Linked DNA regions of Rhinolophus ferrumequinum. The main gene of each other region encodes a partner of the protein of the gene in region 2 in a complex. Links are inferred from orthologs where the notes say so. Each region holds a gene or a part of one and is shown on either strand. Other genes may lie near its edges.

Region 1 (3,741 bases), on a different chromosome or scaffold from region 2:
ACAAAGACTTGACTTGGAGCTGATGGGTCCTGGAAAAAACAGTTCCCCAATAAAATTAAACAAAACAAAACAAAACAAAAAAACCCTCACAGACAGTGCCGTGTGAGCTGGTGCATTGTCATGATGCAAGAGCCATGAATTGTTGGCAAAAAGTTCAGGTCACCTAACTAACTTTTTCATGCCCCCTTTTCAGCACTTCCACATAGTAAACTTGGTTAACTGTTTGTCCAGTTGGTACAAATTCATAATAATCCATCTGATATCAAAAAAGATTAACAACATAATTGCAACAAGTTCACGAACTTAATGTCAGACCTTTGTATTTTCACAAACATGTTTTCTGCTGTCCTACATCCTGGCTTTTGCATGTGTTGTTCCCTCTGCCTGAAACAGCCTTGCCTGGCCATACTGAAGTCATCCTTCTGCCCCCTCCCTACTAGACTGACAGAGTTGTCATGGGTCTCCTTAACCACAAGCAGCTGCAAGGGACCAGGCTGACAACAGCCCCAGGCATTGCACCCCACCCTGAAGGGAACCAGACTGCCCCGTGCCTCCCACCTCCGTGATGTTCTTGGTAACTTTTGCCTCCACATCGTATCTCTCCTCATCCACCTTGTCCACACGGGCATGAAGCTGTCGGCACAAGTCCTGGTGAAGGAAAGTGGTGTGTGTAGTTGGGGGGAGCCTGGGGACCTGGACTCTTGGGTCTGAGGGAGGAATATCTGGGGACCTGGACATCTGGTCCTGAAGGAGTAGACTGAAGCTGAATTCTGAGGAACTGAGAACAAAGCAGAACTCTAGAGCAAGGAGTCCTGAGAATCTGACAGAATTAGGGCTGGAAAAAGCAACCTCTGGATTTTTTGCAGCTGCAGGCCATATTTCTGAACTTGTGAGGGTAAGGATTGGGAGATTGGACCCCAAGGTCCTGAGCAGAAGGGGGACAATAGTGACTGTACCCAACTCCCAAGGATGCAAGATCGGACACGAGGAACCTCGGAACCCGGGCTGGGCAGGAGTCCGTGATTAGGGCCGGTACCTGCAGCTCCTGGAAGCCCAGCCCGGCTAACTCCAGAGGCTGGCACCGCGTGCTCAGAGCGCGTCCCTTCTCTCCACGCCGATCCTCCGCCTCCCGCTCCAGCTCCTGCTTCGCTATCTGTAGCATCAGGGTCTGCAGAGGGGACGCCGGGACCACAGCCCACCGGGGTGAGGGGTTCGAAGTCGCAGAGGGGATGCCCCCTCTGTCTGGCCCTCCCTCTAATCTCTGGCGGGGTCCTTGGTCTTCCAGAGACACGCCTCCTCAAGGTCCATCATTCCAAGGCCCCGCCTCTCCTATGGCTGGGCTCCCCACCTCAAAGTCACGCCCCCAAGACGCACCACTTCAAGCCACGCCCAATGACAATCCAAAGCCCCGCCCCAATTTTCAAGCTCTGCCACCCAAGGACATCTAGGCGCCCTCTCCAGGCCCGTCCGCACCTTCAGCTGCAGTTTTCTCGAGGCGGAGATCTTAGACTTTTTCTGCCAGGGTGAGATAGAGAGAGGATCAGGAAGGGGGATCCGAAGGTGGGCGGTGGGAGGGACTTAAGAACCCACCACCTCTAGTCAGGTCGAGGATTGGGCCCGCCTCCAACTCCAGCCCTAGGTCTACGTGAGGCTACGCCCCTCAGTCCCATCCACCAATCTGGGCCCAATATTCCCTAAGCAATCGTAGTTCCCCTGGACAACGGAACCCCGCCCATAGGCAGCTCTGACAATCCGATCCCAGCCCCTTGAGAACCCCCCGCCCCCCATCCAAAGCGCCTCATCCCTTTTGGCTCCGTGAATGACTGAAGTCCCGCCTCTATTAAGGACCTGGCCCCGTCCCCATTTCCCAAGGTACGAGTAAACCACCTCAGAGTCTGAATCCGGACCCCGCCCTTGCCCCGCCCGCCGCACTGGCCCCGCCCTCACCTTGGCATGCGGCTCGGTGGCATAAGCGCGGTAGTTGGCGGAGGAGCGGCGGCGGATCGGAGCAGGCGCGGGGCACGAGTCCCCGGCCTGGGTTGGGGGGACGGAGCCGCATTACCACCAGGACCCCCAGCTCCCCTGTATGCTCCAGCCTCCCGCCCCAGAGCCCTCCCGGCAGCGCCCTCCCCCGGCCCGCGGGTCCGGCCCACGCCTGCTCTCACCGCATCGCTGCTTCTGAAGGGAGAGAAACCAGGAAAGGGGGGTTAATGCTGGGCCTCTTTACTGTCCTGTCCAGTCCTTCTCCTAAGGGACCCCAGAAGCCCCTCTGACCAAGAGGTCTGACCACCAGCTCTCCCGACTCTGGTCCCAGGAGTGTGATTCCCAAACTCTTAACCCATTCCGACTCCCAGGAGTCCTGTCTCCACCTCCCTTCTCAGGCCAGGGGTCCAGCCTCCCAGCTCTCACCCCTCCCAGGGACCCAGGAGACCGGGTTACCAGCTTCACTCACTCGTCTGCCATGCTGAGACTCTAGCCAAGTGTTGCAAAGGCAGAGAAGGGCAACAGGCTCTTGGAGGGTCAGTGAGGGGGCGTCCGGGGTGACCTTGAAGACCCTTGGGACTTCGTCGCGTCTGAGCAGCTCAAGCCTCACTGAGGACACTGATAAAGGGCGAAGGCAGAGACTAAATATACTGCTGCCCTCTCCTCCCTCTGCCCAGGATGCGAGATAACAGGGCACGTGAGGGGTGGGATGGGCCATGCTTCAGCTGGATCACCCGTCCACATTGGTGGACTGGGAATCCAGCCCGGCCCCTTAGCTTTGACCCAGGAGTCCAGGCCCCCAGCCCCTCCTCCTTCAGACCCAGGAGTCCAGGCCCCCAGCCCCTCCTCCTTCAGACCCAGAAGTCCAGGCCCCCAACCCCTCCTCCCTCAGACCCAGGAGTCCAGGCCCCCAGCCCCTCCTCCTTCAGACCCAGAAGTCCAGGCCCCCAGCCCCTCCTCCTTCAGACCCAGAAGTCCAGGCCCCCAACCCCTTCTCCTTCAGACCCAGGAGTCCAGGCCCCCGGCCCCTTAGCTTTGACCCAGGAGTCCAGGCCCCCAACCCCTCCTCCTTCAGACCCAGGAGTCCAGGCCCCCAACCCCTCCTCCTTCAGACCCAGAAATCCAGGCCCCCAGCCCCTCCTCCTTCAGACCCAGAAGTCCAGGCCCCCAACCCCTCCTCCTTCAGACCCAGGAGTCCAGGCCCCCAGCCCCTCCTCCTTCAGACCCAGAAGTCCAGGCCCCCAACCCCTTCTCCTTCAGACCCAGGAGTCCAGGCCCCCGGCCCCTTAGCTTTGACCCAGGAGTCCAGGCCCCCAACCCCTCCTCCTTCAGACCCAGGAGTCCAGGCCCCCAACCCCTCCTCCTTCAGACCCAGAAATCCAGGCCCCCAGCCCCTCCTCCTTCAGACCCAGAAGTCCAGGCCCCCAACCCCTCCTCCTTCAGACCCAGGAGTCCAGGCCCCCAGCCCCTCCTCCTTCAGACCCAGGCGTCTGGGCTCCTCTCCCCTCACTAAACTGCAATCTCCATGAGGGCAGGAGCTTTGTCCTTCGTTGTTTTTCATCTTATGGTTAGGTTCAGTGCCCCAAAGCTGTCAGCAACTCAATGTATTTTGTTGATTTATTTGAGGATCCAAGTGTGGGGTGCTCAGGCACTCAAGCGACAGCACCAGGAAATCCACTCCTAGTCTACTTGGAAACCCAGAAATCTGATGTTGGCTCTCCTTTTCTAACCACTTCTGACCCCTTCCTTGCCCCAACC
Region 2 (3,741 bases):
CCGCCTCTCGTGGCCTCTCTCCCAGGATGCTGGCTGGCCGGCAGGTGGCTTCAGCTCGTCCTGCCACTGATCTGCTGGCAGCGTGAGGGCCATGTGGCAGGGGACACGCCTGGGGGTGGGGAATCAAGCCATTGGGCTCCAAGGCCACTGGGGCCCCTGGAGGGGACGGTTTCAGTTCAGTGATGGGGCATAGGCGGTGGCCTGTGGGGACTCAAGGACGTCAGCAGAGGGCGCAGCGCAGTGTCCGCGGGCAGCAGGGTTGAGAGAAAACAGGACTGGAGAGGCTGGACACATGCTCAGGCGAGGGGACGAGGAGGCAAGAACGGGCGGGGAAGACTGTGTGTGGCCACAGCGAGGAGTGCGGTCACTGATGAGCGAGAGGCCGGGGGTCCAGGGAGGTGTGAGCCTCGGCCAGGGTTAGGACAGGCCTTGAAGACTCAGAGGTCAGGGGTGGCAGCTGAGCTGCCATCAGTCACGCTTTCCTCCTCTCGTTCGTTTTCCGCACGTCCTGAGCCCTGAGGTGTCCTGGGCACGTTGCTCGGGGCAGTGGACCTACACTTGCCAGCCAACGACAGAACCCCTCGCGTGTCTCCCCGTCGGTGGGTTCAGCCTGTCATGGTCCTGTGCGGCTGCGTGTCACAGCCCTACAGGGTGACCCCAGGGCCTCACGGCCCCTCACACAGCCAGCTGCCTGTCCACGGAGCCACCACGCTTGACTGGAAGTTCTACCTTCTGTCTGACCTCCTGTAGCGGTTCTGGTCTCTTCCCAGCGAGCAGGGCTTGTCATGTGGCTTTGGGGTCGTGGAGAAGACCCGCTTTGCACATGTCCTCACGAGGCCTTCATCCTGCAAAGGCCACTCAGCCCAGGAGAAGACCCCCGGTCCAGACACTTGGGAATTGTCTTGGAGGCTGATCCTGTCCCCAGCCCTGCTCCCAGCATCCTTCCCAGGCTGGGCCGCTGGCATCTGCTTTATCACGATTGTCAAGAGGGACAGCTGGTTTATGTCACATGCCGCTCCCTCCTCAGTTCCCCACATATCTGCTTTGGTTTTAAATAGCTTATCTGAGCAGCTGGATGACCACATGGGCTTATATGGCGTGGGGTACATGTTTCTTTAGCCCTGTCCCCGGCACCTGACAAAATAGCAGCCAACACCCTCCCCTCCCACGACCACCAGCCGCCCGCCCCCTCCCCCGCACATTCCTCCCCCGAGGCTCGGCTCCAACGCCCCACGCCCCACGCCTGCTTAAAGCCCTGGCACCCCCGCCCTCCCCCACTCCCTGTCCTGGTCTGGCAGCAGCTCGTTCTGAGGTAAGACTCGCTAGAGGGGGAGCAGAGAGTAGAGGGAAGAGGCCCTGCGTCCCGGCACCTGCATCCAGCCTGCCTGCGTCCACTCTGAGGGACGTCGGCGTTGACAGAGGTGCTTGTTCCCTCCGAGAGGAGGCCACGCTTTGGAGGAGGTGTTACAGGGGTGGGACTCCAAGGACAAAGGCTCAGAGCCTCCGTTAGCAACTGGAGACTGGGTTTGAGTCCCGGATCTGCCAGTGAAGACGTTACGTACTTGGTTAAGTCTTAGGTAACAAGCTCCATCCTTGGGTCTCAGTTTCCTCATCGGTAGAAGGGACTAGGTCATCGCTGGGGCTCTGCCTGCCCTAAATACAACAGGGACGCCACAGATTGTTCACCCCCTCCCTCCAAGCTGAGGGTCCCTCCCCAAGCTTTCAGGCAGGTCCTTCTTTATCCTCAGAGAACGGAGCGAGACTGGCCATATCAGGCAGGGCGGTCCTGGGGCCAAGTCTCATCTCCAGGAACGCAGAAACTGCCCGGCAAGCATGGAGAAGGACCACAGTCCAGAGCTGGCAGGGACCCGGAGGCCTCTCCCAGCTGGTGGTGAAGTTCATCCAAACTCCCAGACTCAGAGTGTTAGGCTGAGCAGCACTGGGGACTTGGGGGACCCCTCTGGGAGGTCTTTGCGGATCTGTGAGCCCAGCCCGTTGGCTTAGAGGGTTAACCCTGAGTCTAGCTGCCCCCCCACCCCGTAGGACCATGGGGAGATAAACATTCCCTTGATTTTCCAGCTTCTCTCGGGCAGGCTGAGAAAATATTTGGGGAAGGGGTTGCCTGGAGTGTAAGGAATTCCAAGCACATTCCAAGTGTGGAGCAGCTGGGCCACCTGACTTCTGAGCTCCTCCTCTGACCTGTCTCGTAGGGCGAGCCCTGAGCCCTCGGGGCAGAAGAGGCATCTCAGATCATCAAGGTCCCCCCTGCCCCGCCCTCCTTCCTGCAGCTCCCACTCCCCTGTCCCATGGCTCTCCTGATGGACTAACAGCTTCAGGCTTAGGACGATCCCAGCTGAACGTTGGGGACAAATGCTGAGCGATGGGGTTACATTCCTTAGAAACTCAGAGACTTTCTGCAAGATTAGAACTTGAAGCTCATCTGTTTTACAGATAGGCTACTGAGGCCCAGAGGTTAAGTGACTGAACAAAGGTCACACAGCAAAAAACCCAGCTGTTTTGACCCCATGGCCAGTGTCATTTCTGCCATCTATTGTGTTTGCTTTAGTCCCCCAGGAAGGTGACCCTGCTCTTGGCTGTCATACAGAAAGCAGTCTGTGGAAGCAGGTGGGGCGTGGTTGCAAGGACAGTTGCTTTGGGACATTGTCACACTTGCTCTGCCAGATTCTTGATTGTCTCCTATTCTGGAACCCCCAGCTCTGTCTGTCACCTGCCCCTTCCTCAGTTCTGCCTTTGGCCAACGACTTGGCCACGACCTCCAAGTGGCCGGGAGGCTATTTCTGGATGCTGGGTGGTGCTCCCAGGAGCAGGAAGAAGGGTCCTCCTGCTGCTCCCTCCTCTGACCCAGGCCCAGGCCCAGTGGCTTGGAGGCTGTGGGAGGCAGGGCAGGAGAGGAGAGAGGATGCCACAGTCCCCGCACGCCAGGCTGGCCGTGCACAAGCCCCCTGAGAAACGTCTCCCTCCTCGCTGAGGTGACAGACTCCTTCCGGGTCTGGGAGCAGCCCCCCCAGTTCTCAGACATGGTCCCCTGGGGCCCGGGCAGTGCTTTTCTGTCACAGGCTCCCCACCCGCTCTGGGCTGGTGGCTCTCTGGCCAATCACCCTGATGAGGCGGACCTGGTGCGCTTCGCCCAGTTCCTGCGCGGTAACATTTGCGCAACTATGTTACAAGCCCCAATTAGGATGCAGACATTGTTACTGTCACGACCTTACTCAGCTCTCCCCAGCTCCATGGGACTGTGTGTGTGTGAAATTCTACACAACTTGAACCTGGGAAGGTTCTAAGGCCAAGCCCTCGTGCCCCTTTTATTACTACGCCCACCTCCCTCCCACCCTCCACACAGCCCCTGAAGACCACCAATCTGTCCCATTTCAAGGCTGTTTTAGAAATGGAGTCATCCAAGTTGGCTGTCCCCCATGAGCATAATTGCTTGGAGAGCCACCCAGGGTGTTGTGTGTGTCAGTGGCTTGTTCCTCTTTGTCGCTGAATGCTATCCCATGCTGTGGTCGTACCACAGCCAGGCGACTGCTCCTCCGGGGAACTCCTGGCTGTGACGGGCAGACCACATGGAGCGGGGTCGGATGGGGGGTGGGTAACACCTGCTTCCCTGAGCACTCTGCAGGATGGAGAGGTCCAGAAGCTTTAGAAACATTGTTTAGAGAGTTCATGTTTTGAACGGAGCTATGAAATTCCAGTTTGTCTGTTCTGGGGCAAGAATGACCT

What was found.
Region 1: the proteins of TNNT2 (region 2) and TNNI3 are in contact, whole or in part, in a crystal structure (PDB 4Y99), measured with the Homo sapiens proteins. The link is inferred for Rhinolophus ferrumequinum from reciprocal best matches to the Homo sapiens genes TNNT2 and TNNI3. Residues at the interface, in NP_001263274.1 of Homo sapiens: Glu214, Lys217, Lys218, Ile221, Leu222, Arg225, Arg226, Lys227, Leu229, Ile231, Asp232, Leu234, Asn235, Glu236, Leu239, Arg240, Ala243, Lys244, Leu246, Trp247, Ile250, Tyr251, Leu253, Glu254, Ala255, Glu256, Lys257, Phe258, Asp259, Leu260; in NP_000354.4 of Homo sapiens: Arg68, Glu71, Lys72, Ala75, Leu76, Arg79, Gln81, Pro82, Leu83, Leu85, Leu88, Gly89, Phe90, Leu93, Gln94, Leu96, Arg98, Leu100, His101, Arg103, Val104, Asp105, Val107, Asp108, Glu109, Glu110, Arg111, Tyr112, Asp113, Ile114.

The regions. Positions count from the first base shown.
Region 1 is NC_046298.1:48,372,830-48,376,570, forward strand, and holds the start of TNNI3 (troponin I, cardiac muscle), read right to left. Parts: upstream 2,618-3,741; 5' UTR 2,464-2,617; coding exon 2,453-2,463; intron 2,179-2,452; coding exon 2,166-2,178; intron 2,035-2,165; coding exon 1,948-2,034; intron 1,516-1,947; coding exon 1,474-1,515; intron 1,169-1,473; coding exon 1,037-1,168; intron 649-1,036; coding exon 559-648; intron 1-558. UniProt on the Homo sapiens protein: Troponin I is the inhibitory subunit of troponin, the thin filament regulatory complex which confers calcium-sensitivity to striated muscle actomyosin ATPase activity.
Region 2 is NC_046310.1:962,101-965,841, forward strand, and holds the start of TNNT2 (troponin T, cardiac muscle), read left to right. Parts: upstream 1-1,248; 5' UTR 1,249-1,312; exon of another isoform or gene 1,313-1,421; intron 1,422-3,741. UniProt on the Homo sapiens protein: Troponin T is the tropomyosin-binding subunit of troponin, the thin filament regulatory complex which confers calcium-sensitivity to striated muscle actomyosin ATPase activity.